Linked DNA regions of Elephas maximus indicus. The protein of the gene in region 1 interacts with the protein of each later gene in a pairwise test. Links are inferred from orthologs where the notes say so. Each region holds a gene or a part of one and is shown in the gene's direction. Other genes may lie near its edges. The genes, in order: TSGA10 and ZNF410.

Evidence for each region.
Region 2: the proteins of TSGA10 (region 1) and ZNF410 interact in binary tests that used the Homo sapiens proteins (3 or more experiments, as listed by UniProt). The two-hybrid records come from large-scale screens. The link is inferred for Elephas maximus indicus from reciprocal best matches to the Homo sapiens genes TSGA10 and ZNF410.

What each region holds. Positions count from the first base shown.
Region 1 is NC_064835.1:86,619,462-86,636,427, forward strand, and holds the start of TSGA10 (testis-specific gene 10 protein), read left to right. Parts: upstream 1-9,931; 5' UTR 9,932-9,997; coding exon 9,998-10,054; intron 10,055-16,966. UniProt on the Homo sapiens protein: Plays a role in spermatogenesis. When overexpressed, prevents nuclear localization of HIF1A.
Region 2 is NC_064828.1:86,616,971-86,633,664, forward strand, and holds the start of ZNF410 (zinc finger protein 410), read left to right. Parts: upstream 1-9,122; 5' UTR 9,123-9,180; coding exon 9,181-9,213; intron 9,214-10,280; coding exon 10,281-10,416; intron 10,417-13,199; coding exon 13,200-13,418; intron 13,419-14,693; coding exon 14,694-14,885; intron 14,886-16,694. UniProt on the Homo sapiens protein: Transcription factor that binds to the sequence motif 5'-CATCCCATAATA-3', and is specifically required to silence expression of fetal hemoglobin in adult erythroid cells.

The sequences.
Region 1 (16,966 bases):
TGTCTATTCATTTCCTTTGCCCATTTTATGATCATCTTTTTTTTGTTAAATTGTTGAAGTTATATATTTGGTTATTAAATTTTTGTCAGATACATGGTTTCCAAAGATATTATCCCAGCTCATCTTTTTACTTTTTTGTTAAAGCCTTTTGATGAACAAATGTTTTTAATTTTCATGAAGTCCATTTATTGTCTTTTATTTTAGATAATCCACTGTTAAAAGCTAGCCCTGACGCTGTTGCCCCTGCTTTTTCTTCTAAGAATTTTATGATTTTACTTAGCACATTTAGGTCCTTAATCCGTTTTGAATTTGTTTTTGTGTATCGTGCGAGGCATGAATCCTGTTTCATTTTTCTGCATGTGGATATCCAATTTTCCAAGCACCACTTATTAAACAGGCTCTTCTTTCCCCATCAAATGGACTTAGCACCCTTGTCAAAAACCAGTTGACCATAGATGTATGGGTTTATTTTTGTATTCTCAACTGTATTCCATTGGTCAATGTTTCTATTGTTACACCAGTAGCAGGCTGTTTTGATTACTGTAGGTGTATTAAAAAAAACCAAACCCAGTGCCATCAAGTTGATTCTGACTCACAGCGACCCTATAGGACAGAGTAGAACTGCCCCATAGAGTTTTCAAGGAGTGCCTGGTGGATTCGAACTGCCAACCTTTTGCTTAGCAGGAGCACCACTTAACCACTATGCCACCAGGTTTCTTTTAAAATCATGAAGTGTGACTTCTACTTTGTTCTTCTCTTCCAACATTGCTTTAGCTATGTGAGGCCTCTTGCCATTCTGTATAAAGTTGAGGATTGGTTTTTTGATTTCTGTAGAGAAGGCTGTTGGAATTTTTATTGGGATTATGTTGGAGGTAGAGATTGCTTTGGACAGTATTGACATCTTAAGACTTCCAATCCATGAACGTGGAACACCTGTCCATTTATTTAAGTCTCCTTTAATCTCTTTGGGCAGTATTTTATAGTTTTCATTGTATAAGTGCTTCACATCCCTGACTGGATTTATTCCTAGGTATTTTATTCTCTTAGATGATGTTGTAAATGGGATTGTTTCCCTAATTTCCCTTTCAGATTTCTCATTGCTGGTATATAGACACCTTTCCTGTCTTTTCAATGATCTTTCACTTTCTTCATGTATGATGTTCTTGATTATCTTCCCACAATTCTGGTTTTTGGTCATTAGTATTTGGTTCTTGAAACCTGTTCTTGAGATTGTCTCTAAATTCAGGCTGGATGTATTCAAGGTTATACGTTGACCCTCATGGACTTGCTTTGATTTTCTTCAACCTCATCTTGAACTTGCACGTGAGTAACTGATGGTCAGTTCCACATTTGGCACCTGGTTTTGTTTTGACTGATCATCTGGCACTACTCCTTTGTTTCCTTCCATGGAGTAGTTGATTTGATTCCTAAGTACTCCATCCACCAAGGTCCATATACTTATTCATTATTAAGGTTGCCCAATCTGTTAAGAGAGATAAGCATGCAACATGGAGGGAGAGCCTGGGAAGTTTCCCAAATGAAGGGGGCTTTGGCCAGGGCTGGGCGGTGAAAGATGTGTAGGAACTGGTAAGCAGAGTTGGCCAGGATGGCACAGGGGACAGGCTTTCTGGCACAGGGAAGACAGCGAAGACTGCAGAATCACCAGCGTTTGCTGGAGAATAGCGATCTCCCAAAGATGCTCAATGTGACATCTGGAGCGGATGTCACAGCTGTGAAAGTATTAACCTACCTTTATAATCTCGTCTTCAATATTTAAGCAGTGTGGTATCTTTTGACAGTTTACAATTCAGTCTCCATCAAGTTTTAGTCATTTACTGACTGAAAATTTCTAAAGATATTTGGAGATCTGTTCATCCATATTTGTGACTTAATGTCTGTGCCTAACCTGTAACAGAACAGTCCTGGGCCGACTATTGTATTCTAAATACGGAAGTTATTCAAGTGTTGTTGCTGTATCAGTTAGATAAAAGAGTATGGATTTGGCTCTCTAGCTACAAGTACAATGTAGCTACGTTTTTAAAGAGTTCTGATGGAATTCTAAATGTAGGTATACCTGTTTCTTAGATTTGGACTCAAAAGTGTTTTTTTTTTTTTTTCCTCATCAAATAAATATCCAACACTACCTTCAAATTAATAAAAGTGGGTGCCTTCTGGTCTATGGTTTCTCCTCTTTAATTAATTAAAGAGGAAATACTCCTCCCAAAAATGTGTAAATTGAATTCCAAAATGAGGAAACAGAGACTGAAACCAAAAGACATGCTACAAAACAAATGGCCTGTACTCCTCAAAACACCAGTGTCAGAAAGACAAAAAGATACAAAACAAATGGCCTGTACTCCTCAAAACACCAGTGTCAGAAAGACAAAAAGAGGCTGAGAACGTGTTCTAGGTAAGAGGAGGCTGAGGGGACTTCCAAATGCGGTGAATGATCCTAAATTGGAAAAGAAAAAAAAAAAAGGTAATATATGGAACACTCCTTGGACAACTGGAGAAATTTGAATGTGGATGGTTTGTTAGATAATCATGTTGCATCAGGGTTAAATTCCCTGAATTTAATAAGTGTATTCTGGTTATGTAAGGGAATATCCTTGTTCTTAGGAGGTACATACTAGAACAGAGGTGAAGGATCAGATCTACAGCTTGCTCTCACTGTTCAGTTATAGAAAATAAGGTATGCAAAATGTAAACATGTGTTGAATCTAGGAGGTAAAAAATAATTGTTCAATTTATCATTCTTGTAACATTTCTGTATGTTTAAACTTTTACAAAATACTAAATTTTAAAAAAGTATAAAAGTCAACAATACTCTATAAGACAACATACTACATTTGAAGTCAACAAAAGTAATATAATGATAACACATAATTATAAACTAATTAACACATCATTCAAAAAAAGGGAGTGAGAAGAAATTAAATGCAATAGGATACATTTGGCTCTATAAATCTCACCTTAAGTTCCCCCAGGGTCTTGTGGACACGAAGAGAGCAAGTCTATTTGGGGGCCTCTTTTTTTTTGGTCTGGCATTCAGGTTGGTATTCAAGAAGAAATATCAAATGCTTATAGAAGAATAAAGGTCCATAAAGAGCTAAATCAATTTGGACAAAAAAGAACAAAGAGACTTGCCTTACCAAATATTAAGACATGCTACAAAAACAATCTACTACAGGTACAGGAACAAATAAATGACCAACGGAATATACCAAAGCTGCAAAATGGACCTAAGTATGTGTAAGAACTTCACATATGATAAAGGAAGCACTATAAGGCAGACGGATGAGTCCTGTGGAGCAGTGGTTAGAGAGCCTTGCTGTTAACTGAAGGTCAGCAGTTCGAACTCACCAGCTGCTCCATGGGAGAAAGGTGTGGCAGTCTGCTCCCATAAAAACTACAGCCTTGGAAACCTTATGAGGAAGTTCTACTCTGTTCTACAGGGTCACTATGAGTTGGAATTGACTCAGAAGCAATGGGTTTAACTTTATAAAGCAAAGAGGATGGAACAAACTATGTTTAGTATGATAAGATAATTAATGTTGACTCACTATGTGGATGAAAAATAAAGCAGGACCCCTATCTTACATACAAAAATACACTCCGAATGCATTAAAAACCTAAATGTGACCACAGGACTATAAAACCAATAGAAGAAAAGGTAGGCCAATATATTTATCACCTTGGAGTGGAGAAGAATGTCTTGAATAAAACCTAAAAAGCTTAAATAATAAGGGGGGAAAACAGATGGCCTTGACTATTCAACATTAGGAACATCTATTCAGTAAAGAGAGTTAAAAAGATGGAAAAGGGACTGGAAGAAGGTATTTGCTATGTGCAAAACTGACAGGGGATTTCATCACTAGAATATGAAAGGAACTCCTATAAATCAACAAGAAAAAGGAAACCCAATAGAAAAACGGGCAAAGAATATAAAGACGTAATTCGCAGGTTGGGGAATCCCATATAGATAAGTACACAAAGAGCTGTTCATACTTACTAGTAACTAGAGACATCAAGTTTAGAAGAACCAGAATGATAAACTTTAGAAGGTGGATAGTACCGAGTACAAGGAGAATGCAGGTTGACAGGAAACCTTATACACTGTTGGTGGAATCATTATTAACGCCCTTCTTTACCTTCTATTCCACATCCAATCCTTCAGTGAATCTGTTTCTACTTCCACCCCTGCCCATCCCTCCCCATTGTACATTCTTCAAACAGTATCAGGAATGAGCCTTTTAAAACACAAGCCAAATCACAGCACTCCAAATCTGATCAACACGCTGTAGTTGTTGCCAATCTCTGAGTAAAACCTAGATTTTCTACATATCTCATCCCCAGGAGGAAACCCTGGTGACATGGCATAGTGGTTAAGAGCTCGGCTGCTAACCAAAAGCCTGACAGTTTGAATCTACCAGGTGCTCCTTGGAAACCCTATGGAGCAGTTCTACCCTGTCGTATAGGGTCGCTGTGAGTCTGAATCGACTTGACGGCAATGAGTTTGGGTTTGTTTTAATCCCCAGCTGTGGTAGGCAGAATAATGGCCCGTTATGGATTGAATTGTGTCCCCACAAAATGTTTATCAACTTGGCTAGGCCATGATTCCCAGTATTGTGTGGTTGTCTACCATTTTATGATCTGATGTGATTTTCCTATGTGCTGTAAATTGTAATCTCTATGATGTTGATGAGGCAGGATTAGAGGCAGTTATGTTAATGAGGTAGGTTTACAGACAGTTATGTTAATGAGGCAGGAAAATCTATAGGATTAGGCTGTATGTTGAGTCAATCTCTTTTGAGATACAAGAGAGAGAATGGAGCAGAGAAGATGGGGACCTCCTACCACCAAGACAGAACCAGGAGCAAGCATGTCCTTTGGACCCAAGGTCCCTTTGCAGAGAAGCTCCTAGACTAGGAGAAGACTGACGACAAGGACCCTCCTCCAGAGCCAACAGAGAGAGAAAGGCTTCCCCTGGGCTGGCGCCCTGTACTCGGACTTCCAGCCTCCCAGACTGTGAGAGAATACTTTCTCTTTGTTAAAGCCATCCTCCTGTGATACTGCTGTTGTAGCACCACTGGATAATTAAGACAGCCCCCAAAGCAGGTGTCCACATCTTAATCCTCAGAATTTCTGAGTATGCTGTGTTACTTAGTGTGGTGAAATGAGTTCCTTTATGTGACCTTTCACTCTGGTTCTTTGGAAAACAGCTTCAGAGATTTTTTTTCCCCTAAGCCCTAAGGAGACAACTTTACCCCAGTTTTCTACCCTAGAAGGTTTGTTACTCTTGTCCAGGTTGAATAACATTTTCTGGGTAACTGTAAACAACTTATGGTTTGATACTTTTTGTCTGCTTCTGGGCTGCAGCTTGCCCTGGGACTGGTATGCACCTTGCAGGGACTGGATTGGTCAATAGGCTATGCAAATTAAGTGTTTGTAGCCTACTATGCAAATGAAGTGTCTGTGGCCTCCCAAGAGGGGATTGGTCTGTTTGTGGCCCTGGTGGGAGTGCCATGCCCTGAAATTGAAGTTTGAGAGTTTGGGCAGTTTGTGTATATAAGCAGCCAAAAAACCCCACAGAAGTTTGTCAGATAGAAAGAAACAGGAATGGAAGCAGAAGGAAGAAAGAAAAGAGAGAAGAAGCAGAAACAGAGAGGTGGCAAGGAACCTTCTAAAAGAACTGTAACACGGGTCAAAGGTTGTAACACTGAAGACACCGAGAGGCCCAGAAGGGGTCCAGTGGCAGAGCTGGCAGCAACAGACAGCAGGGCCAAGAGGAAACTGTCCTGAGAAAGAGAGAGAGGGAGAGAGAGAGAGAGAGGTTTGCACTGAAGGGAGACTTTGCCTACCTGCTTCCTGATGCTGTGTTGTAGACTTTTGATCCTGATCCTGAGTTGTACCCTGTTCCTCAATAAACCACTGAACTGTAAGTATGGTCTGTGAGTCCTGTGTGTCCATTGCAATGGATTATTGAACCCAGAAGTAGAGAGTGCTGTGGGAGGAACGGCTGGTGACAGATTTGATAAAAATGTTGAGAGTGGAGGTATGTTTGACTTCTACTTCATCGGAATCAGTTTTGTGCTGACGGTGATTCTCATTATCCCTCATCCCCTGCCTTTAAGTTAGATAGGTTCTGACTCTATTACTACTCCGACCATTTTGCACTTGGCAAGGGGGATTAAAAGGTTCAGGTAAAATTAAGGAGATTATCCTGGACTGAGTGGTTCCAATGTAATCACAAAGACCCAAGTGAAAGAGGTAGGCAGGAGTGCAAGTGTTAGAGTGACATAATGTGAGAAAGACTTGTCTGGCCATTGCTGGCTCTGAAGGTAGAAAGGGACCACAAGCCAAGGAATGCAGATGACCTGTAGAAGCTGGCACAGATCCGCTCTGAGTCCCCAGAAGGAATGCAGCCCTGATATAACTTTTATTTTAGCCCAACCAAACCCAAAAACCAGATCTGCTGCCTAGCAGCCAAACTCTGAACCACTGTGCCACCCAGAGCTCCTGTTTTAGCCCAGCCTACCTCGTTTTGGAGTTCTGACCTCCACATGTAACTGGTGGCTACTATTTTTGACCGCATAGCTCTCATGTACCAAACTGTTTCCAAGTAATCTTACTGCATCTCAGAACATGCCCAAATATAAACCCAAAACCAAACCCAGTGCTATAGAGTGGATTCTGACTCATAGTGACCCTATATACTTGAAGAAAAAAACAAACAAAAAAATAATAAAAACTCCAACACCCAACAATGTAAAAATTGCAATAAGCAATCAAAAACTACCTGGCAGGAAAACACCACCCCTAACTGGGGGGGCGGGGGGAGTCAGTTAATAGAAATAAATCCAGAAATGACACAGATGATAGAATTAGCATACAAGAATCTTAAAACAGCTATTTTAAATGTATTTCATATCTCCAACAAAGTAGAGAGTAAAGCATGAATATGATTAGGTTGAGAAATAGAAGATATTAAAAAAAATCAAAATTCTAGAGATGCAAAATACAGTGGATGGGATTAACAGTGCCAAAGGAAAGAATAGTGAACTTGAAAAAATAGCAGTAACATCCAGTTAGCATTCAATTGAAAGAAATAAATAGGGCACCAGTGAGCTGTGGGAAACCCTGGTGGCACAGTGGTTAAGTGCTACAGCTACTAATCAAAAGGTCAGCGTTCGAATCCACCAGATGCTCCTTGGAAAACCTATGGGTCAGTTCTACTCTGTCCTATAGGGTCACTATGAGCTGGAATCCACTCGACGGTAACAGGTTTTTCAGTGAGCTGTGGGACAATGGTCAAGTAGCTTAACACGCATGTAACTGGAGTCCCAGACTTTTCTTTGGGGGGGGGGAGGGACAACAGGGAGACAGGAAAAAAGAGAAAAAAAAAAGGAGGTAAAACAGGTTTTTGTAGTGAAGTTTGTGAAATGACAGAAAGAGTGAGGGAATAGACAACCCCAACCTCTAAGGTTGATGAGGCGTGTCTGTCAGAAGGGAGAGAGCTGAACTACCAAATGAGGTTTAGTTGCTAGGGGCATTCACCACTCCTTGGGTTTCCATAAAGGGAAGAAATTTTTCACTTTTTTTGGGTTACAGAAGGAGATTTAATAGTCCTTGATAAGGGGAAAAAAAAAAAAAAAGGAATCTGTACACCCTGTTTTGGCCTTAAAATGATCTCCTCCCTACATTCTTTCCAAGGAATCTTCAGTACCATCCAGTGGCATACATAAACACTTAAACTTTTGTTATTCTTCCCGGAAGAGAAGTACTTTCCTGCTTCCTAAATTAATACCACTCCAAGTCTTCAACTCCAACTGATAGTTTTAAAGTTAGTACATTCTTTCCTATTTCAATAATGCTAAATATTGAGGACCTTTTATTCAAAATAATCCTAGTACCTGAAGAGGAAATAAGAGATTATACAGTATTCCCCCTAAGATAACGTTTCATGAGAGTCTTTGAGAGCCTGTTCTTTGATGGCACATTTTATTAATTAGATGTAATTGTATTTCAGAGGAAGTATGTTCCTTGGGACTCTGACCTCTTTATCTAAAATAACAAAGGCACTCAATTAAATTTTCTAGTAGCTAGCATTTAATACAAACTGCATGGTATCTGAAAATAAATGCTACAAAATATGAGAAAATGTAATGGCACAAATAACGAAAAAATCAGAACAGAGACTGGCAATGCATATGGCACTTATGTTCAAATGTACCTTATGACGAAATTAGTTCTAACATAAAAATTGCCTACCAATAATATGTTTTGGAAAAAAATTACTCACCTGGCAAAGACAGGAACTGTTAGTCTCTTCTAACGTGCGCCTATTTTTGCAACGCACAGGCTTATACTACATCATCAGAGGACTCCTGTAAAAATCCAGTGTCTCTTTCATCTGCAGGAAAAGATGGGAGATGAAGTCACCATTACAGTTCAGAAGCTCTTGGGTTGCTTAAACAGATGGGACATGTTCAACACTAAGAAAAGTTAAGAATACTTTTTAAGCTGGATTCCAAAACATTGGCAATATAATGCAATGCTCATTCTTTTTCACTAAAAAGCTCACCTCTCTACCTTAAGGTAATATAGTTAATTTTAACGTAGCTGGATGGCCAAAAATAATATTACGCCGGGTGAAGTGACTATTCCCAGACTGAAAGCTCCCAGTTGAGAGAAAACCGGATAAAACCAAACCCAGTGCCATCGAGTCGATTCCGAGTCATAGCGACCCTATAGGACAGAGCAGAACTGCCCCAGTTTCAGAAGACACGTTTAAGTGACATTAAACAGGACGACAATCGACGAACTAGAAATACCAAGTGTGGCTGTATACCTATCCTTTTCGTTAATCGTCACCAGTTTTTCTGCAACGGGGAGTCAGAGGACTGGCAGGTGCTGCAGGACTACCGCGCAGGAATCTTTCACTGCTAGCCCTGCCCCTTGTCGATTCAACCCCGAGTTGATGCTGCAGGGTTGGCCCGGCCGTGGGTCCGCAGGCTCCCTAGACTGCAAGGGGTCCCCTCCACCGGGACGGGCCTGCCCTCTCCCGGAGCGCTGCAAGCAGGAGGCCCCGAGCTGGGAGGCTCCCCCCAAACAGGCGCCTGGCTGCGGCAGGAGAACGCACCAACCTCCCGGAGCCCACGGGCAGCTCTGAGAACTGGCCGGTCCACTGAACGTGAGCCCAGACCCGCGCCTGCTCGCCGGTGCAAGCGGCCCAAAGCTGTGGCCACAAAACAGCCGATGCTCCCAACAGCGGAGCTCCAGCCCTGCGCATGCGCGTTCTATCCAGGTGCGGGAGCAGCTGGCAGAGAACGAGAAGCACCTCGTGGAAAAGGGGCTCGAGGCCGGTTACTAGGAGACGGGACGCGCGGGCGGGGCGTCTAGGCGCGGCGTGGGCGTGCGCCTGCGCGGCGCGGAGGACCAGGAAGCGGCCTCTCCTCGGCGCCCGGACAGGCAGCAGGGGGTGATACGCGTCGCTGCGTGCGCGGGCGCGCGCACAGCTAGTGGTTCCCGCGAGAGAGCGTGTTGAGCCTGGTACGCGTGCGCGGGAGAGCGGGGCCGCGCAGGCGGGGCGCCTAGGCGGGGCGTGGGCATGCGCCTGCGCGGCGCGGAGGACCAGGAAGCGGCCTCTCGGCGCCCGGACAGGCAGCAGGGGGTGATACGCGTCGCTGCGTGCGCGGGCGCGCGCACGGCTTGTGGTTCCCGCGAGGGGGCGTGTTGAGCCTGGTACGCGTGCGCGGGGGGCGGGGCCGCGCGGCACGGAAGCGGCGTGGAGGCACCCGGAGGCGGAGGACGAGCCCCCTGAGGTACAGGGCGTGGGGCGGGGCCGAGGCGGCGCTAACCGCCCCGCCTCCTGCGGCCGGCACCCGGCACTCGGCACCCGGCGGATTTGGGGCCGGAGGGGCGGGGACGGGGCGGGGTATGGAGGCGGGCCGGGTCTCGGGCGCCCGGCGGAGGCCCCGGCCGGACAGTCGCGGGGATGAGCGCCGGGGAGGACGGCGGGCCCGGAACGCCGGCCAGGGAGCCGGAGCGCCAGGTGGAAGCCGCGGGCCTCGCCGGCCCGGGGGAGGCCGCTCCTGGGGGAGGGGGAGGTGGCTCCGGAGGGGGGAGGCCCCCGGGGGGGGGAGGCGGCTCCGGGGGGGAGACCCCCAGGAGGGCGGCCGGCCGGGGACCCACGGCCGGCTCTGCCCCGTCGCGGTCTCCCGGGGGCGTGGGGCCGGGCCCAGTTCCTATGGAGACCGCGTCGCGTCCCGCCGCAGCTGTTGGGGCCCGCTGGGCCAGAGGCGCTGTGCCGTGGAGCCGAGAGCGTGGAGCAGGGTGTTCGGGAGCCCGGCCCGGCTCTTGCTGACTCCCAGCCTGTGGCTTCACCGACGTGGGGAGGCCAGGCGCGGAAGGAAGTATACTGCACAGGACAGGCTGCGTAAACCGCCTGTTCTTTAAAAAAGTATTTAAAACCGAATCGGATACGTGTTCGGTGGTCATGGACCTGATACCTAAAAACGCATACGAATACTTTTTTTTTCTTTAAATAAAGCCAAGAATCAAGGCTTCAGGATAAGTTTGCTTAGAGCAGAGCGTTCCCCGGTGTTTGCCTTCTTCCACACCAGGCCTTGGTATCCTAGGATACTGTTTTTAGTTTCCTCTGCTGGTTTTCAGCGTTTCAAGTACACTTGGTTTTCCCTAATGAAATAAGTAGGATACCAATGGATTTGTAACTGGAATAAAATAGATTAGTTATACATGTAAAAGTAAGGTGACACAGCTTCCAGACCTGTCTCCAGTATGAAACTGGTTCCTGTCGCCTTCTCTCTTAGTGGGAAATAACTAGGAAGGCCCATTAATGAAATATTTATTTTAAACCCTAAACTTTAGTATTATTTAACGACAGCATCTAAAATACATTTTTTTTTAAATTTACGTTCTGAAAAAAAACACTGCTGATAGCCCAGTATATAATCGGGGAAGAGATTCTCTGGGCTTTCTTCCTGTGTGGTCTTATTCAGTTTAAATACTTGAGACAAGTATGTTTTAGGGTCATTAGATTTTAAAGCTTTCCATATACAGAGGCAGTTAGGGCAGGTGTTATTATCCACCTCCTTTTCCCATCACACAGCGTCCTCCCCAGAGGTAGGCACTATTCTGACTTCTATGGTTTTCCTGATAGCTTTACCACCTTTGTGAACATGCACACTGTGGTTAGGCTTGTTTTTGAACTTTATGTATCTGGAATTGTACTAAGTCTTTTCATTGTGCTTCTTTACTTAACATTGTGTGTTAAGATTTACCCTTGCTGTTGCTTGTCGTTTGTTGGTAAGTGTTCCATTGTAAGAGTAAACCACAATTTATCTACTGCTGGTAGACAGTCAGGTTTTTACAGTCATGGCAATTATGAGCAAAACTGCTATGAGCCTTCCATATGAAGACAATTTTAAAAGAGAAAGCAAAAAGTCCATCCTTGTTGACCTTTTGTGGAGCCAGATTTCAGAATCCCATATAAAGTACACCACTGTTTTTCATTATTCTACCAAAAATTCAATAGACATTTGTTGAGCACATATTATGTGTCAGATACTTTGGTCAACACTGATACTTTTTTGCACATGACCTTATCTCCTATTTCACTGAAAAAATAAGACTCAACTGGGCAGGAACTCCTTCAAATGTCTGCCCCTTCTTGCCTATTCTTGCTTTTCTCTCTTTTGTCTCAGAGTACAATGCATATCCTTTCCTTGTGTTTCCTCTTATTACCTCAGGGTTTTTTTCTCCATTAATTCACATTAAGGTATGTCTTAAGAAATCTTTGTTTCTGCACTGGTGGGTTTCTTAACCTGGTGTCCAAGGTGTTTAGGGAGCTGTTGTGTGCTGTCTAGTCGATTCCTACTCATAGCGACCCTATATGACAGAGTAGGACTGCCCCATAGGGTTCCCTAAGCTGTAATCTTTACAAGAGTAGATCACCAGGTCTTTGCTGCCATAGGGCCGCTGGATGGGTTCAAACCGCTGACTATTCAGTTAGCAGACCTTTCTGTCAGCAACCAAGCACTTAGCGGCTGTCCCACCAGCACTTCTTATAGGGAGTTTTTGAATACCTTAAATGGTAAAGTTTTGTGTGTATTTGCATTTTCTTGAAGGCAAGATCTGGGGGTTTTGTTCAATTCAGAAAGGGGTTCTTAACACAAAGAGAATTAAGGAACATGTTTGTCTTCTTTTGTAATGACCCTTCCACAACCATGGTCTTCCTCCAACTTTAGCTGCCTCCCTTCCTCTCACAACCATGCTTTCTAAAAGTAGTTTACATTTTCCATTTCCTTTTCTTTACTCTCATTCATTGATTAGCTCTTCTAAATTAAAAAAAAAATTTCTGATGAAAATATGTATAACAGAATATATACCCAGTTCAACAGTTTTTACATGTACAATTCAGTGACAGTGGTTGCATACTCCACACCGTGTCATCATCCTCGGTCTCTTTGCCCGTATCGTTTCACCACTGTTAACTTAGACTCTCTGCCCCTTAAAGTTCTCATCTGCGCTTTAGAGTTATAGTTGTGAATTTGATCTCATATAGATCATATTTTAAAAGCACAATGCTCAAGGCAAACATTCTTTATTAATTGAGCTAAACTTGTTTAAAGATTCATGGGATCAGGGTTTAAAAGTTGTTTCCAGATAGTTGAGGAGGGGGGCCAAGATGGCTTGCTAGGTAGACGCTACCTTGGATCGCTCTTGCAACAAAGACTCGGGAAAACAAGTGAATTGATCACATACATGACCATCTACGAACCCTGACCAACAAACACAGATTTAAAGACTTGACCTGAGTGACAGAGACCGAGAACGAACAACTACGGGGAAGCAGCGACAGTTTTCGGAGCCTGGAGCCAGCGTCCCAGTCAGGAAACCTTGGCGTGGGGCTTTGGACTGGGCGCAAGGGAGCTGAGCACAGCATCCTGTGACGGCGCAAACACGGGGCGCAGCCCCATCCCCCTGAACTGACCTCGGGACGGGGCCCAGCTGGTCCGTACAGGAGGTGCGGTGATGCACCTGGCGGGAGGAGAAGTCCCCGGGAGGCAGCGACTGTTTTTGGAGATGGGAGTGCAGAGTCCCAGCCGAGGAACCTTGACGCTGGGCTTTGGACTGGCAGCGGAGGAACTGACCGTGGCTTCTGAGACAGCGCAAGCACAGGACGCGGGCCTGACCCTCGGGGGCAATCTCTACCCAGCCAGTGCACACAGGAGCCCCTTGGGAATCTCAGATAAAACAGTCATCCCAAGCAAGATAAGTAACTTTGTTTGTATTCCAGGGTGCTACTCTCTCCTGTTTATCTGAACCCTCCCCTCCCTTTCCCAGGTGGCTTCATTAACGTTGCAGTTTCCTGAGCCAGAGGGAGAACTGCTCTGCGGTTTTTCTTTTCCTTTTTTTTTCGGTCTTTCCTAACCCATTCTTCTGGCCTGAGAGAAGCAACCACAAAAAACCCAGGGATGAAAAATCCTTCCCTAATTGGACTAAAAACACAGAACCAGCTCCAGCCAAGCATATGTGATCCACAGTCTCGGGATTTCATCCCTACAGGGAACAAGGTGGCTATTATACTGCAAAGGCATTTTTGACAGGGATCTGACTGCATTTGTTTTAGCTGATTACTGGAAAGACAAGTTTCCCAGATCTGATATCTCTGCGTATTCAACAGAGCCCTCACTGACCCACAACAGGGAACTGAGGGCTGAAGCTCCCCTCTGACCACCTAGCCTCCTGCCTTAGGGGTCTAAGGAGGGTGACACCTTCCAATCTGTAGAGGTACTTGCATTGGGGGCCTAAGGTACAGCTGCAGAGCCCACCCACCAAGGTGCTTTAGGAATAGAGACACACCTACCTCACTGACACTTGGGGGAAGCCTGTCAGCATCCTGCTCTGCCCCGGAGTGTGAACCCCAGCTGCTACTAGAATCTGGTGCACACAACTATCACCACTACTTCTCAAAGTGGATAGGTGACAGTGTGCATCACACACTTGATGACCCAAAATCAGATTTTACTCAAGAATAGTGAATGGACTCTTAGGCTTATATATCTGGTAACAGCCCAAACCAGCTGGTAATAGGTCATAAGTAAGTCAAGGGCTACAACAGTCAAGACAGCGCAATCTAGTAGCCCATCTACGTATATTGAAAGAGAACAAAACAAGATAAGACTCAGTGAGCAAATATAGAATAAATCACTACAGTATCTTAGTGATGGCTCGGAGACAGCAGTTGATATCAAACCATATAAAGAAGCAGACCATGACTGCTTCTACAACCCCCGAAACTAAAGAATCAAAATCTTTCCCAAATGAAGGTACAATCCTGGAATTATCAGATACAGAATATAAAAAACAAATTTACAGAATGCTTCAAGACATCAGCGATGACCTCAGAAATGAAATAAGGCAATCTGCAGAAAAAGCCAAGGAACACACTGAAAAAGCAGTTGAAGAACTCAAAAAGATTATTCAAGAACATAGTCGAAAAATTAATAAGTTGCAAGAATCCATAGAGAGCATTCAGAAATCCAAAAGATTAACAATAAAATTACAGAATTAGACAACTCTGTAGGAAGTCAGAGGAGCAGACTCGAGCAGTTAGAATGCAGAGTGGGAAATCTGGAGGACCAGGGAATTAACACCAACATAGCTGAAAAAAAAAATCAGATAAAAGGATTTAAAAAAATGAAGAAACTCTAAGAATCATGTGAGACTCTATCAAGAAGGATAACTTGCATGTGATTGGAGTCCCAGAACAGGGAGGGAGGACAGAAAACAGAGAGAAAATAGTTGAAGATCTGCTGACAGAAAACTTCCCTGACGTCATGAAAGACGAAAGGATATCTATCCAAGATGCTCATCGAACCCCATTTAAGATTGATCCAAAAAGAAAAACACCAAGACATATTATCATCAAACTTGCCAAAACCAAAGATAAAGAGAAAATTTTAAAAGCAGCCAGGGATAAAAGAAAGGTCTCCTACAAGGGAGAATCAATAAGGATAAGTTCAGACTACTCAGCAGAAACCATGCAGGCAAGAAGGCAATGGGATGACATATACAGAGCACTGAAGGAGAAAAACTGCCAGCTGAGGATCATATATCCAGCAAAACTCTCTCTGAAATATGAAGGCGAAATTAAGATATTTACAGATAAACACAAGCTTAGAGAATTTGCAAAAACCAAACCAAAGCTACAAGAAATACCAAAGTAAATTGGTCAGAAAACCAATAATATCAGACACCAGCGCAACACAGGGTCACAAAACAGAACATCCTGATATCAATTCAAATAGGGAAATCACAAAAACAAGATTAATTAAAAAGAAAAATGCTCAAAACGGAATCATTGAAGTCAATATGTAAAAGATCACAATAATCAAAAAGAGGAACTAAATACAGGTGGCATAGAACTGCCATATGGAGAGGGATACAAGGCGATACAGGACAATACAAGTTAGGTTTTTACTTAGAAAAATGGGGGTAAATATTAAGGTAACCGCAAAGAGGTATAACAACTCCATAACTCAAAATAAAAACCAAGAAAGATGTAACAACTCAGCAAACAAAGTCAAATACTATATGAAAATGAGGAACACACAATTTACAAAGAAAAACGTCTCAGCACAAAAAAGTAAGTGGAAAAATGAAATTGTCAACAACACACATAAAAAGGCATCAAAATGACAACACTAAACATACTTCTCTATAATTACGCTGAATGTAAATGGACTAAATGCACCAATGAAGAGACAGAGAGTCTCAGACTGGATAAAGAAACACAATCCGTCTATATGCTGCCTACAAGAGACACACCTTAGACTTAGAGAGACAAACAAACTAAAACTCAAAGGATGGAAAAAAATATATCAAGGAAACAATAAGCAAAAAAGAGCAGGAGTAACAATATTAATTTCTGACAAAATAGACTTTAAAGTTAAATCCACCACAAAGGATAAAGAAGAACACTACATAATGATAAAAGGGACAATTGACCAGGAAGATATAACCATATTAAATATTTACGCACCCAATGACAGGGCTGCAAGATACATCAAACAAATTTTAACAGAACTGAAAAGTGAGATAGACACCTCCACAATTATAGTAGGAGACTTCAACACACCACTTTCGGAGAAGGACTGGACGTCCAGTAAGAAGCTCAATAGAGACACGGAAGACCTACTTACAACAATCAACCAACTTGACCTCATTGACTTATACAGAACTCTCCACCCAACTGCTGCAAAGTATACTTTTTTTCCTAGTGCACATGGAACGTTCTCTAGAATAGACCACATATTAGGTTATAAAACAAACCTTTGCAGAATCCAAAACATCAAAATATTACGAAGCATCTTCTCAGACCACAAGGCCATAAAAGTGGAAATCAATAACAGAAAAATTAGGGAAAAGAAATCAAATACTTGGAAACTGAACAATACCCTGCTGAAAAAAGATTGGGTTATAGACATTAAGGGGGGAATAAGGAAATTCATAGAATGCAACGAGACTGAAAATACTTCCTTTCAAAACCTCTGGGACACAGCAAAGGCAGTGCTCAGAGGCCAATTTATATCGATAAATGCACACATACAAAAAGAAGAAAGAGCCAAAATCAGAGAACTGTCCCTACAACTTGAACAAATAGATAAAGTGAGCAACAAAAGAATCCATCAGGCACCAGAAGAAAACAAATAATAAAAATTAGAGCTGAACTAAATGAATTAGAGAACAGAAAAACAATTGAAAGAATTAACAAAGCCAAAAGCTGGTTCTTTCAGAATATTAACAAAATTGATAAACCATTGGCCAGACTGACTAAAGAAATACAGGAAAGGAAATAACCCAAATAAGAAACGAGATGGGCCACATCACAGCAAACCCAACTGAAATTAAAAGAATCATATCAGATTATTATGAAAAA
Region 2 (16,694 bases), on another chromosome or scaffold:
TTAGTCAATTTCCGTAACATGCTAGGTATGGTATAAAAAGTTGCCTGGTTTTTCTGTTCCCAACTCTATCATTTTATACCAAAATTCACATTGCTTTTTTAAAAAAATTTTATTTTTGGTCTCTGTAATCCACTACCATCAGAATTTTTGTTTAGTTTTTAAATGTTACAGAGTTGTTTGGTTCTGTGCCCGCGGTCAGCCAAAGGTAACAATGGATGGAGCTGAAAAGCAGATAGACCGTGGTCAAAGAGACCAGGCCTGATGGTAGAAATTGTGTGCGTCATTCTAACTTCTATGAATGGTGACCAATTGGAGGGAGCACAGTGCTTCTCAGTTTTTTCCCTCTTTTTACTCCTTTCCCCCACCCTACCTCTTTCCAAAAGTGGGTCAAGGTCAAGGCATTTTCTACCTCCCCCAGTTAGAGCAGTACTGCTATTCTGAGCCATGTTTTCTAGGGTGGAATCACTGCCTTTTACAAGTTGGCCCAGGGAGGTTCTGTTTCTTTCATGAGGCAGAATAGTAAAAATAAAAGTCCCTGGTTATTTTTCCTTGTCGGTACTCTTCCTTCTATGTGGCAGTCAGGACTGAGTCAGGAGACCTTTACTGGCTCTGTTCCCATTTGGTAAGTTTACTTTGGCGTGGCTTTTCCTTCCTATATTTCCCTGTGTAACCTGTGTTGGTTCTAGGTCATCTCTGCCCTAGGTAAATGGTACCTCCACTGATTTCTGTTAGTATGCGAGAGTCCTACATTGGAGTTTGGGACCAAAGACTGGTTAATTATAAGAATTGTTTTGCCTTTCTTTCGTGACAGTTGCTAAGCATGTAGTATTTCCCTCTGCAAACCTCACAGGCAGGGCCTGAGGACAGGATTCAAGCAATCTCAATTTCATCAAAACTCCCATTAATGAAAATTGCTGATCGTATTTAATGTATATTTATAGTATGTTTATATCTATACCTTTACATTGTATGGCTGATTCTTTGTTTAACGTATGTATTTTAGACATTTGAAAACCCTCTAGTAGTGTTTTCTGGTCTGTGGGACATACCCGTTAGTAGGTTATGAGATCTGTTTAGTGAGTTTTTTCATTTAAAAAAAAAAGTGAAAAAAATCAGAGTGCATGTGATTAATTAAAGGTTAATATTGTTTCATGAAAATGTTTCAGTTATTTGTGTGTGGGGGGTGAGTTGTTCTTTCCTTCTCTGGATTATGGTGTAAAATGTATTTCTTACTGTGGATTGTAGTAAAAAAAAAAAAAAAAGAAAAAGAAAAAACCACTTTATTTAAGAAACTTGAACTCAGTAATACAAAGCAGAGTTCTTAAACAGCCTCTTGTGGTATATTAAACATTTGGCAGCTTTATTTGTTTCTTAAGTACTTTTATGCAGAACTTTGTTTCTGAAGAATTCTGTATTTCTGTTGACTGATACAAAGAGCCCTGGTGGTACAGTGGTTAAGCACTTGGCTGCTAACCGATAGATTAGCAGGTCAAACCCACCAGCCACTCCATGGGAAGAAGGTGTGGTAGTCTGCATCCATAAAGATTATAGCCTTGGAAACCCCATTGAGCAGTTCTACTCTGTCCTCCAGAGTCACCATGAGCCAGAATTGACTCAACAGCAATGGGCTGGATCATTGACTGATTCATAAATAATACTAGGAAAGTTCCATTTTATTTTGCATTCCAAATGAGTGTCTTAGGGCTGAGAAAATGAAACCTTACCCAGGTTTCAACAAACAAGTGAAAGAATTAAGATTTCTAGCTTTAGAGACCTTGGATTTTTTTTTCTTTAAGAGATTATCTTCTTTAATTGACTAGTTCAGCTACTTAGTGTATATGCATAATTTGCACGATGTTGACTGTACTGTAGAAAAAGAATGCAGCTTATCAAACTTCGGTTCCCAGGGTTTCTTTTTCTTCGGCTAATAACAGAAGGAGAGTTGTTCTCAGAATGGACCTGATCACAGACATCTCTGGTGTCCTAAAGTAGTAGCTTGTAATGAGGCCAGTTCTCTCATTACTTACTTATTCCCAGAACTTTTCAAGGGTTCTTGTGTTCTTTGCTTTGGTTTGTATTGTCTGCATTCTTTTTAACCCCTAGGCTGTCTATGGAATAATATATTCAATAATAGCAATGGTAGGATTAGTGGATTTTTTTTAATGCATATGATAGACCAAGGTTATTTTTTTAACCAGTATAATATGCATTGTTAACCCAAAGGGAACCATGTTTACTTACTAAAATTTAGGTTATCAAGATTGTGTCAGTTGTTGCCAAGGGTATGGAGTGAAAAGGCTCTGAGCAATACTACTTAGACTGTTCTCTGAGGTCAGTTTGTTTTATTGTGAACTCTTTATCCTTAGCCAGGATTCCGTATTTATGATTTGTGGAAAATATGATTTGATGGGACTGGCCTCATGGTTGCTGATGGTTAAATGTCATTGTCTCTTTTATTATTTATGCAGCTAAATTAATAATTTCTCTGTTTAAAAGGAAATAAGGATATAAAGCTTTGCCTGCCCACCAGCTAAAGATAAAAATAAAAATGAACAAATATTGCTGTCCACTTTAAAGGACTTTAGATGATGTAGGTGACTGTTCTGTACATCGCACTTCTAATCTCTTTTTTAAATTAATAGGATAAGAAATCCTGGGAAGAAAGTTCCTCTGAGACCCATAATTATCTTGAAAATAGTTTACCTTTGAGTAGGAACAGTGTCTCACGTCAATGTCATGTAAATTGTATTTAAAGAAAAAAATTGCATTGGATCCCCCCAATACTGGCAAATTATTTTTATTATAATTACTTTTTAAATATATTTAAACACAAAGGTAGGTATTCCTTATTGCTCCTTAATGCCGAGCCGCTATAGCTCTTAATCAACTATGCAATCAAAACAAATTTACAAATAATTCAGTAATAGGAGTGGCAGGGTCAGTTGATAGCTATTATTTTTTAAATGTAATATATGCTAGACCAAGATTGTTTTCCTAAAATACTTTGATGCACATAGGGTACCAGGAGCATGGTAAAAAAAAAAAAAAAAAAAAAACCCAAACCCGTTGCCGTCAAGTTGATTCTGACTCATAATGACCCTACAGGACAGAGATAGAACTGCCCTGTAGGGTTTCCAGGGAGCATCTGGTGAATTGAAACTGCTGACCTTTTGGTTAGCAGCTGATCTTCTAACCACTGAGCTAATAGGGCTCTAGGAGCATAGTCAAATTTACCATATCAGGGTCTTGTCAGTGGTTGCCATGGATTTGTATACATAGAAGTGAGGGTGCAGGTGTGAACAGCACCATAAAGCAGGAAAATTCAAGCTAACATTCATATACACCTACTCCTCACTAATTGGCATGGTTAGGTTCCAAAGACCAGGTTGTTATGTGAAAATCAGCATTATGCAAAGGTGAAGGATTTTTTTTCCTGTTTTCAGACTATCGATTTTTCTGATTTTTTTAGAGAATATAATCATAGAAGTAATAACAGCTAATATTACCGATGTGCTCATCACTGTGATGAGTCCAGTTATGGCTTATTCCTCTGCAGAGAAGGAGGTTTGGGGGAAACAAAGCTGGATAAAGCTGGGCTGTGTGACTGGAGGGCCAGGCTTAACCACTTCACCTTCCTCCTTTGTTGGGTCAGAGCTCCTCAAGGAGCTGCCTCCAGGGCTCCACTCCCACCCCTGCAAACCTTGTGTTTAGGAACCTGGAGCCGCCTCTGTTCTCCTGGCCTGGTGGGTCACTGAGGCGCAAGGTCACTGAGGCTCGAGGCTTCCTGCAGGGCTGGACTGGGAACCTTGCCACGCATTGGGCACCACCCAGGTAGAGGCTTCAGGCCCAGTTCAGCTCATTTTGGGATGTCATTAAACTAGCACTTATTTATTCCAAACACCCTCTCCGATGCTTTTCTTTCCTCCCTTCTCACCCCACAGCAATTTTAAGCTGCGGGGTCTCAGGCTGCAGAGGAGTTGGGAACCCAGAACAGGTCCCTGCTGGCTTGGTGCTGCCTGTACCTCCAAAGCAGCAGGAGGGAGCAGAGAGCATGGGGCAGCATGACCCAGCTTCCTGGAGGCAACTGAGAGACCTTCCTTGAGGCAGAGGACTCCCCGAAGCTGTAGCCCCCATACCCACCTGCCTCGTTAGTTTGCAAGATAGTCAGATTTTTACTGTTGACATAAATGCGAGATGATAATGAGTTGATAAGTGAGTAGATGTAGTGATAGAAATGTTGTTTTCCTGAAATGAAGTAGTTAATAGTACAGTTAATAGTGGAAAAATTTAGCCTTAGTGTTCAGTAATATATTTCATCAGTTTCTATATTTTAACTTTGGTAATATTAAAACAGAGAATTCTGTGCTATTGTTGGGTGCCGTCAAGTTGATTCGGACTCATAGTGACCCCATGTGACAGAGGAGAACTGCCCTCATAGGGTTTTTTTCTAGGCTATCATTTTTACGAGAGCAGATCGCCAGGTCTTTCTGTTGCAGAGCTGCTGGGTGGGTTCAAGCCTCCAACCTTTTGGATAGCAGCGAGTGCTTAACTGTTGTACCACTAGCACCTTTCAAAGAATATTATATAAGGTAGTATTTATAAGTGAGGCATTGGTGGTTCAGTGGTAGAGTTCTTGCCTTCCATGTGGAAAATCCATGTCTGATTTCTGGCCAGTGCACCTCATGTGCAGCCACCATCCGTCAGGGGAGGCTTGCGTGTTGCTTTGATGCTGAACAGGTTTCACTGGAGCGTCCAGACTAAGATGGGCCAAGAAAGTCCTGGTGATCTACTTCACAAAACCAGACAATGAAAATCCTGTGGATCACAACAGTCCAATCAGCAGCCAGTCATGGGGATGGTGCAGGACTGGGAAGTGTTTCATTCCATTGTGCATGGAGTTGCCATGAGTCTGGGCAGCTAACAGCAGTATTTATTAATGTCAAGGTATTGTTTAGCAGTTAGTATGATCAGAACTCATATTTAAGCAAGACTGACGATGAGCTATTCTTGAATGTCAGTTTTAATGAGGTGTTTGATAACTTTGTAGAGTTGCCTCGTTCACGTGATGCATTGCAGGCATAAAGGCAAATCACAGAATGGGAGAAAAGTTTTGCAAATCGTTTATCTGATATGGGACTTGTATCTAGAATATATAAAGACCTTCTTCAACTTAATAATAAAAAAAAGCTCAGTTATGAAATGGATCAAGCATTTGATTAGGCATTTCTCCAGAGAAGATAATCGTATGGCCAATAAGCACATAAAAAATCCTCAGCATTATTAGCCATCAGGGAAACGCAAATCAACACCACAATGAGATAGCACTCCACACCCACTAGGATAACTCTCTCAAAAACACAGATAATAACAAGTGTTTCTGAGGATATAGAGAAATTGGGACCTTCATATACTGGTGGTGGGATTGTAAAATGGTGTAGCTGTTTTGGAAAACAGTTTGGTATTTTCTCAAAAGGTTAAACACAGAGTCACCCTACGAAACCAAACCAAACCCATTGCTGTCGAGTTGATTCTGACTCATAGCGACCCTATATGACCCAGCAATTCCATTCCTAGATATATGTACCCAGAAGAGATGAAAACATATGTCCACACAAAAACTTGTACATGAGTATTCATAGCAGCATTATTCATAATAGCCAAGACACAAAAGCAACCCAAATGGCTATCAACTGATGAGTGGATAAATAAAACGTGCTATGTCTATACAATAGGGTATTATTGGACAACAAAAAGAAATAAAGCACTGATACATGCTATAACATGGATGAACCTTGAAAACATTACATATGCTAAGTGAAAGCAGCCAGGCACAAAAGGCCACTTATTATATAATCTCCTTTATATGAAGAGTCCAGAATAGGCAAATCCATAGACACAGAAAGTAATTTAGTAGTTGCCTAGGCCTGATGAATGGAGGAGAGATTGAGTGCGAGTGGGCAGTGACTGCTAATGGGTATGGGATTTCCTTTTGAGGTGATGAAAATGTTCTGAAATTGATTGTGGCTGTGGTTGCACAACTTTGAATATACTAAAAACAATTTAATTTTACTCCTTAAATGGATGAATTGTATGGTATGTGAATTATATCTCAGCAACACTGCTACTAAAAAAGATTTGCATTTCAGAGTTTTTGGTATCTGTTAAATTGGGAATCGAATTGCACATTTGCCATTACTGTTCCAGCCAATGTACATAGCAAGTTGTTGTCTCAAAGATGAGATAGATCCACGTAGTATACTTGGTGTGGTACGAGAGTGCTCCAGTACCGGTTGCTCCAGTACGGGTTCTTCTGAGTTCAGCCTGCGTAGTCAGCTGCACCCCACTCTTCTCTGATTTGTTCATACAGCACACATACAAACCAAAAACTTGAGCACCGAAAACATACATTGGTACTCAGTTGCAATAGTAGATTCCCAGTTTTTCCAGAAAATGTTTAAGCCATTTTTTAAAAAGATGTCATTGAAATGAAAACACTAACATAAAAAAATGTAGATAACTGTGGAACCCTGAGAAATGGTGATGAATCTAGAGGTAGCTCTTAAAACTATAAGAGAAGTGGTAGCTCCCTACCTCTGTTGAAGTTGAGTATCACCGATTTGCAAAGTGGTGGTAGATCTAATATGTCCGGTTTTTCCCTTACTCATTGCACATATTCATATATTTCACTTTTTGTTAGATAAGGATAACAAACCTATCCCTGGAGATAATGCTGTCAGTTTCCAAGAAACTTAACAAATATTACCAATACCAGTTGCCCTTGAGTCTGTTCCAATTCATGGTGGCCCCATGCATGTCAGAGTAGAACTATGCTCCATGGGTTCTCAATGACTGATTTTTCAGAAGTAATCACCAGGCCTTTTCTTCTGAGGTGTCTATGGGTGGACTTGAACTGCCAACCTTTACATTAGCAACTAAGCCTATTAAGCATTTGTGCCATCCAAGAACTCCTAACAAATAAAAAGGATGGTAAATGGTTGCCTAGTTTTTTAGATATTTTATAATTCTGGAATCTCGAAGTTGGAGGAACCTTCAGGATGACCTGAATAAACATTTGGTAATTTCTTGGTTTGTTGAGGTAAGCTGGAGTTGAGGAAGAAGGATTCTTAGTACCTAGAGATTCAAGATCAAACCTAAAGACATATAGTCATATTCATGCCAACTAGAAATTGGACTTACTGTATGGGTGGAGTAGTTCAGAAGTCTCAGCCACAAGTTTTATTTTATTGCTGGCTAATCAGTTTTTTTTTTTTTTAATGAGTTAGGAATCAGAAAAATTACCAAGTCAACTAGGGTAGGAACTAGGGTTGAGAGAAAGGACTGTATTGCCAAGATGAACCTTATTTATATCTAATTAAGGAAAAGAGTAGTGTAATACAGAAAAGAACAAAAATAAGTGTACAGCTTAATGAATTATCCCAATTACATGTTTGTATAACCACTGTCCAGGTTCGGAAATAGATACATCTTATTTTACTGATTTCCTTCTGAAAACATTTATATTTAGGGATCATTTTTTTAAGGATACTAGTAACAACACTGGATCTACAGTTTTGGAGACTTAGGAGTCCTGGCTGCAGCTTAATAACTTGGCTGAGTGATGTACTGAGCCCTGATTCCTTCCTCTGTAAAAAGAGGAATAAGCCACATAGATTTGTTGTAGGGCTTGAATAAGAAAAGTGTCTGTGAAAGGGAAAGTTAGAGATTGTGATAATTTATTTTATGTGGGAAACTTAAAAGAACACTTTTAAAATAAAAGAGCACATCTTGTAAATTGGTATTTCTTTATGATGAAAAATTGGGATTTCAGGTAGCTAGCAAGGGATGGGTGGGAGGAACCAACAGTACAGTAAACCTTTATTTATTTATTTAGAATAAGTCTTTCTTATTCTGACTTTCCATTCTACCCTGGTATTAATTGAAAACTCCCATCCTTGGTCCATTTTACACAGTGCGATTACCTGGTACATAATAGTGCTCCAAATTTTAACAGTTGTGCAAAATAAAGTCGACTCATCTGCTAAAATCTTGGGGAAAAAATTGACCTATAAGAAAGTAAGGGTTTAAATTATGAGAGGAAAACAAACAGCTGCATCAAGATCCTGAGAACACTACCTTTGGGAAATACAGTTCAAAATTTGACTGCCTGTATTTCTTTTAATGTAAGTTTTTTAAAATGATGAAAACAGTATAGCTACCTTTTAGACAATTTGGGAGATAGAGAAAATAAAAATAAATGATACTAGCCTACCAGCTGATAGAACTACTGTCATTGCTGTGTGAGTTTCCTTTGAATTTTTTCTCTGCATATATTAAGAGGTTTTAAAAATAGCAAATGTATAATTTTATATTTTATTTTTGTAATTTAACACGTCATAAGGAGCCCTGGTGGCGCAGTGGTTAAGTGCTCAGCTGCTAACCAAAAGGTCAGCAGTTCGAACCCACCAGCCGCTCTGCAGAGAAAGATACAGCTTCTGTAAAGAAGCCTCCTTTAAAAATTACATCGTTGGAATTCTATGGGACAGTTCTACTCTGCCCTGTGGGGTTGCTGTGAGTTGATACTGACTCTACAGCAACAGATTTTTATTTTTTTAACATGTCATAAGCATTTTTTTTTGTTTCATCATCTTCATGACCATATTTTTAAGTAACAATGCAGTAATTTAATCACTTCCTAATTAATGGATATATATGTGTATTTGTATGTTGCTTCCGGTTGTTTATTTTCTCAGATGATAAGATGAACATCCTTGGGCATACAGCTTTTTCCATATTCAGGACCTCTTAGAATGGATTATTAGAAGTAGAAATGCTGAATCAAAGCATAACGTTTTTATGGGCTTTGAAACCTCTTGGACTTGTTCTGTTGTAACATGTTTTGGGCTGAGTTCTTCATTTGCTTGTTTATTTTGATATTTGGATATACCTGTGAAGAAGTGTCTGTCTTTGGCCTTTTTAGATATATTTTCCACTGCTCTTAACTCTCTTCCTCTTCCCCTCTCCCCCATTTTAGGCTGAATTGATGTTCTGCCTAGCACAGCATCTAACTGCAGGAGCATAGCATTTTCTAAAGAAATATGAGCATAACAGGAAGGTGTCATTGACTCTGAATTAAATTTGAACCTGTCCCCTGAATAGCTACAGGATTTGGAAGCTGAATCAATGTTATCAGATGAGTTAGAATCCAAACCAGAGGTGAGCCCAGTCGTCCTTTTATTTTGATAGGCTGTATTCCAAAGTTTATCCTTGGTTGCTGGGGTCAGTAAACTTTTTCTGTAATGGGGAAGATAGTAAATATTTTAAGCTTTGTGGGCCATACAGTTTTGGTCATAGCTACTCAACTCTCCTGTTGCAGTGCGAAAGCAGTCATACACACTAATGAGCGTGGCTGTATTCCAATACAAAGTTTATTTACAACACTGATGGTGAACTGGATTTGGCCCAAGGGCCATAGTTTGCCAACTCTTGCCTTAGTTTATTATTTTTCCATTACTAAGTACTTTCAAAGATTTAAAAGTACTGTTTTTATCTTTTATGACTTTTTATATTTGTTATTAAGTGTAAAATTATTATAATCAAGATATTATAAAATGAAATTTATATATGTGTGTGTGTATTCATTTTTCTCACTTTAATGTTAGTGCATCTCTGATGCATAATGGAAAGGTTGCTGAATGTAGAATTAGATTACTTAAGTTGGAAGACTGGTATTGATCTTAACTAGCCATGTGAATTTAGACAAATCACTCAATGTCTTCAACTTGATTTGTCATCTGAAAAATACATGTTTAGTCTTACTGGGTTGCAGTGAGGATTATATGAGCCAGTTCACAGAAGAGTGCTTTGTAAAATGTAATCAATATAATACAGTTGAAATTTTTTAATAGCCATCATTTAAAAATGTAATTATTTTTATCATTTCTCTGATGAGAGGTGACAGAGGTTAACATAATTATAAAATTCAGCCTTTCTCCAGAACAGAGGACTTGATAAATAACTTTAAATATTATGTTATAGTTACTTTAGTTTTTCTATGAATAAAGGCCTAGATTAGTGAACAGTCAAGACTTAATTACTACATTTTATGCAAATAACGTGCAGATTATGCCAGAACGGTTTTAATTTCATCATTTCTGTGTGTGGTATGTGTGGCTGGGTTGTTTGCAAAAATATGGTATATCACTTTTTGGTAAAGTCAAAGGCTTAGATCCATACCCGACAACCTGTATTTCTCAGTGTTGCCTTTTTTTACCCCTCTTTAGCTCCTGGTACAGTTTGTTCAGAATACCTCTATCCCATTGGGACAGGGACTAGTGGAATCAGAAACTAAAGACATTACTTGCTTGTCCCTCCTTCCGGTGACTGAGGCCTCAGAATGCAGCCGGCTAATGTTACCAGGTAAAAACTGAGATCACTAGAGATAGGATAATGGAGTCCTAAGAGCTTAGCCTACTGTATGGTACCAGTGGAGTGGGAGAACTGACTTTATAACTGACTGGTGGAGATTGTAAAAATTGGGCGTCATGGAGAAAAAAGCAATCATGGGAGTTATAAATGCATTGGTAGTTTAAGCCATGGGAATGTATGTGATCACCCCCGGAGTGTGAGAGTGAGAAGAAAGGAAGGCCAAGAGAAGAATGCTATAGAACTTCCTATTGAAGGTATAGAATGAGGCAGAAGAGCCTGAGAAGGAACGGCTAGGATATTAGGAAGAATATCAGCAGAGTGGAAGCATGGAACCTTAGAGAATAATTAACATGTCAGAAGCTCCTGAGAGGCCCAGTGAAATGGAACTAAAAGAAGGCCATTATTGATCTTGATAGGAGCTGTTCCATTGAGTGAAGGGAGTAGAAAGCCAGGGTGCAGTGGGTTGGGGTATTAATACAATATATTCCACTCAATGTAAGTATAGTTGAAGAGCTAACTATACTTTCTAAAGGCTCTCCTGTGACAGGAAGGAAAAGAGAGGCATGTAAGGTAAAGGGAAGAATTTTGTTTTTGTTTTAGATGAGAGGTATTTTTATGCTAAAAGAAAAACACCAATTTATAGAGAAGCTGCAGACAGAAGGAGAGAGTGGATTATGGGTGACAAGGTCAGGAGCAGTAAAAAGAAGTAGAATGCTGAGTATAGGTAGTGAGATTAGCTTTGAATGGAAAGAGGGAGATCTCTACCATTAGAGTCATCATTGAGAAACCATCCCTCAAGGTTTTAGGGGAAGTTGTAAAGGCAATAGATATATTCCTTGCCCTTAGGAGCCTTAATAAATAATGGAGGATTTTTATCGTTTTTAAAAAGACTTCTTGAAAAGGAACTGTACATTTTTAATTAACATTCTAATGAGTCATTCATCATTTGTTCCTTTTTAAGTGAAACCCATGGTAATAGTTCTGGGCTTAGTGAAAACAGAAGGGCCAGTAGTGGGGGTTGGCTGTCTATCCACTGAGACCTATTGCACCCTATTAGCAAGGAGAACGTTATTTTTGGGTGCTATGAAGTCTTTATTTTCTGACCCTTGTTTTTAATGTTTGGAATGTTAATGTTAAATCAGGGGAGGGCCAGTATTGTTGATGATGACTTATTTTGTTTGTTATAAGTTCTACAGGTTACCATTCCCTAGTGGTGTCTTAGTTATCTAGTGCTTCTGTAGCAGAAATACCACAAGTGGATGGCTTTAACAAACAGAAGTTTATTCTCTCACAGTCTAGGAGGCTAGAAGTCTGAATTCAGGGTGCCAGTTCTAGGGGAGGGCTTTCTCTCTCTGCTGGTTCTGGGGGAAGGTCCTCATCATCCATCTTCCCCTTATGTGAGAGCTTCTCATCACAGGGACTTTAAGTCCAAAGGAAGTGCTCCACTCCCAGCTCTTCTTTCTTGGTGGCATGAAGTCCCTCTCCTCTCTGCTCGATTCTCTCTTTTATATTTCAAAAGAGATTGACTCAAGATACAACCTAATCCTGTAGATTTGAGTCCTGCCGCATTAACGTAACTGCCTCTAACCCTGCCTCATTCACATTATAGAGATTTGGATTTACAACACATAGAATAATCACATCAGATCACAAAATGGTGAACAACCAGACAATACTGGGAATCATGGCCTAGCCAAGTTGACACATATTTTGGGGGGACACGACTTAATTCATGAGAAATGATGTTCTTTTTTCTTTGATTTTTGAAGTCCCTTTAAAACCCTTTTCAGTTTTTAAAGATCCAAGAAGGCTGGATATGTCCAACGAACCAGTGTTTAAAAGATTTTCCTATCTAGTTCCTAGCTTTCCCATATCTTTCCTCTCTCAATTCCTATTTTTCTGCTTGTATGTTGGGGGTCATATTTTCCAAATCCCTCTGAATTTGCAACATGTGGCAATTTTCAAGTGTTAATAAAATTCGATCTTCATTAAGCTTGGACATGGCAGTACTGTTCCTAGGCTTCCACTTTTATTCCTATAACTTAACTTATTATCTCACTAAAAGAGGGACAAAGTTACCGCCTTTATGAAGATAAATGAAACTCCAGAAAACATTGGATGCTCCAGCACTGCAGTATGGTTTCTTCTTATATTGCAGCTGAAACCTTTGGAAATTCACCTCTTCCCATAGGACAAGCTTCTTGAGAGCAAGTCTTCTGAATGAATTCTTTAGATCCAGTGTAAACTCAAAAGTATAATGAAACATATTGGTAATTCTATAAGATTTCATTCGTTTCCAAGGCTGTGGTTTTTTTTCTATGACTCATCAGAACTGTCATATGCATCTTATAGAAAGCAAGAGGAGGAATCTACCCCCAAGGAAGATAATTTAAAATGTAGATCCTTTATAAGTTAGTGTTGACTGCATAGATGATATTTTCAAGGGAAGAGCACTTGATTTCTGACCTCAAAAAGGACAGTTCTGTAATGTAAAATAAAGTAGAATGCTGAGCATGTGGATGGTTGGTTATTAGTTACTGCCAAGTGTCAGAGGAGTCTCTTGCTCACATTTTAGCCGACTCCCTTTAGAACTTAAAGCCATCCCCCTGTTCTTGTCTAAGGCAATTTTTATATTTGTAGAATGAAAGTATTATCTGCTTCTATAAAGGTGTTAATACTAGGGGTGCTATAAGGGTATTTGGGGCTGTATATCAAAGTGGTAGGCTTTTTGGAGATAAGTGCTACATAAAGCTGTGGTGTTTTCCCTTTTCTAGATGATACTCCAAATCATACCAACTCTTCCAAGGAGGTCGCTTCCTCGGCTGTGTTGAGAAGCCTTCAGGTGAATGTGGGCCCAGACGGAGAGGAGACGAGGGCTCAGACTGTACAGAAGTCCCCGGAGTTTTTGCCAACTCCAGAGTCTCCTAGTTTGTTACAAGATCTACAGCCAAGTGATAGCACTTCTTTTATTCTTCTTAACCTAACAAGAGCAGGTATTCTTTTTCCTTCCCTGAACTCTGCTCACACTTAAGAAAAAAGTGGGAGTGTATGTATGTGTCCTGTTTTACTCAAGTTACATGGTGGAAAGAAGCTTTATTATTTTGGAGAATTTTTTTAGTCCGGTGACCAATTGAGTGTGTGGAGGGAGAGAGTGGACTCTAGGAGGACTCAATAGTCGCTTGTTTGGGAAACCAGGTGGGTAGTGGGGCTATCCACTGAGATAGTGAGCACAGGAGGAACAGGGCTTGGGGGAGGATGATTAGTCCCACTTTGTGCCTTTTGATGTTGAGATTTCTCAGGGACATTCAGGAAGAGTTGTCCTTTAGAGAGTTAGAAACAGGAATCCAGAGTTCTGGAGAGAGGTCTAGGGTGAGATACATAGCTTTGGTCCTTACCAGCATTTAGGAAGTATATGGAACAATGGGCATGGATTTGTTCACTCAGGAGGAGTCTGGAGCATCAACTAAAAAGAAAGCAAGGCTGGGACCCTGGGGGGGAAAAAAAACATTTAAGAGGGGGACAGAAGAATGGGAAGGAGCAGCTAGAGTAGGAGGAAGAGACAGGGAGAAAGTGTGAGGGAAGCCAAGGGCGGAAAAAATTTTAAGGAAGGAAAGTACTAGAATCGTGGCAAATACTACAGGATGGGCTTGTGAGACGGACTGGGAAGTGTGTGTCTGGTGACCTTAGCAAGAACAACTGTTATTGGGGTAGTAGAGGCGGAGGCCAGGGTTAAAGAGAGGAGGAAGTAAATGGAAGGTAAGAAATTGGATGCACAAGTTGGAAGGTACTCTTGTTCAAGAAACTTGACTTTGAAGGGCACAAGTGAGAAGGTAATAGCTGTAGAGGTACTTGGAGTTTTTTTTTTTTTTTTTAATAAAGTTGGGAGAGACTTCAGCTAGAACAGATTAAAGGCTGCAAGGGAAGACTGGCCAATAGAGAGGAATAGGTCACAGACAGGAGAGAGGAGATACCTGAATGTGACAGATACAGGAGAGGATAGCTGAAGAAAGAGATTGGAATACCAAAGGTAGAGATAAGCCTGATGGCCAGGAAGGAAAACTTTGCCCCTGAAACAGGAGGAGGCAAAGTAAAGACAAGCCTGTATGCTGAGGGTAGAAAGATGATGACCTAATTATCTATGAGACAGAAATTTGAGGTGAGATGAAGACCTGGAATAGCTGATTCAGGACATGGAGTGTTTCTGAGCCAAGGCAGATAAAAGGATTGCTTGATGACTTAATTTTCATATATTCTTTTGTTTCTTCCAGGTCTGGGCTCTTCAGCTGAGCACTTAGTATTTGTACAAGATGCGGCAGAGGATTCAGGGAATGACTTCCTCTCCAGTGAGAGCACAGACAGTAGCATTCCATGGTTCCTCCGGGTTCAGGAGTTGGCCCACGACAGTTTGATTGCTGCTACTCGTGCACAGCTGGCAAAGAATGCAAAAACCAGCAGCAATGGTGAGACCCTTGTCATGTTTTCCTTTCTGGTATCTTGTGCAAAGACATTTTTGACAGTGCAGTGGCTATATTTTGAGTTATTGGAAAGAGCAGAAGGCCAGGGATGTGTGTTGTTATAAGTCTTATCTAAAATGTGTGTGTGTGTGTGTGTGTGTGTGTGTGTGTGTGTGTGTGTACAGGTAAAATAACTTGGCCATGCCAGATTTGTGTGCAGAGTCAACTAACGTTCTCAATTCTTGACTTTAAATAATGTTCCTTTTAAAGGAAGAACAGTTTCTTACAGATACCCAGTGTTATCTTGAATTGTTTTTATTGTGATGTTAAGTATGTAAAAACAAAGAATTATATATAAACTTCTTATAATAGAGCTCCTTGACCTTATCAGATTAAAACAATTTTATCAGTTAATAGAAATAAAACTGCAAACGCAGTGTAAATAAAATTAAGTTACTGTGGCTGACAGTGACGTTTTGCTGAAACAAAATTGCTGCTCATAACAATTTAGTAATTCACTGTGATGACTGTAGTGCTGTTGCTTTGGAGTTCAGTATGTCTGTACGACCTACTGTGTGCCACTTTTCTCTATTCCGCAAATTCTCAAGACGGTCCCTGGATCGATCAGCATCACTGGGAACTTGTTAGAAATGCAGATTCTCAGACCCATCGAATCAGAAACTTTGGAGGGGGGCCTAGAAGCCTCTGTTGTACTAAGCCTTTCTTGTGGTTCTGATACATGGTAAAGCTTGAAAGCCACTCCTTTATTCAAACCCCTCCTAAACCACTGCAAAACATTTGCTTAATGTAGTATGCTTTCTGTCTTAGGACTGCCTCTGTATTTTCTCCTTAACCTGTGGCAATTAAGGTAGTACTGTATGGTTCAATGGAAACCCTGGTGGCCTAGTGGTTAAGTGCTACAGCTGCTACCAAAAGGGTCAGCAGTTCGAATCTGCCAGGCGCTCCTTGGAAACTATGGGGCAGTTCTACTCTGTCCTATAGGGTCGCTAGGAGTCGGAATCGACGCGACGGCACTGGGTTTGGGTGTTTTTGGTATGGTTCGATACTGTTGTTACCACAGACCAAGCTTAAGCACTGAAACCTCACGGCAGTACACAGCTGTGTAGAGGTGACGCAGGTGATCTAGGATATGCTTTTGATTATTTTTTGATTACTGTTCAGATGGAAACAAAAACCTTAAAAATTTCTGACAGAGAACTCAGGATCCCTGTGAATATTTCAGAATAACCCAGTTTAAGAAATATGAACCTCATTCTTTTCTCGAAAGCTTTAATTCTATTAATTTTCAAAATAATTAGTTCTGTTTGTGACTACTGTAGAGCTGCTTAGAATGGCTCATTTTACCACTTTAGGATTCTTCCGGAGATGCTTTCGCCAGTATTTGACTTCTGGAACCTTTGGCATCTCCATGTTAACACTGAGGAAGTAGTGCCAGATTTGACGATGAGAAGCAGTGTAGGGAGGGAGCTTGAATCTGGGGATCTAGGATCCAGGCCTGGTGCCATCATTTGCTAGGTTTCTGCCTTGGGCTTTTTGCTTCAGTTCTCTTATGTTTAGAACCTAGAGATCAGGTAGCTTAGCTGACTGGGTTAGTTGTTAGGGAGATTAAATAAGATTCTATCTGGGAAGTTGGGAAATGCTTTATAATCAGCAAAACATTGTGTGGATGTTTCTCTTACTCCCATAGTATGTCATCTTACCACCTTACAACCTCGTGTTTATGTGAGCCCAAATATAAGACAGTCTTCCATTTTCCCAGTGAGATGATTCACTAAAAATCCTTTTTTGCTAACT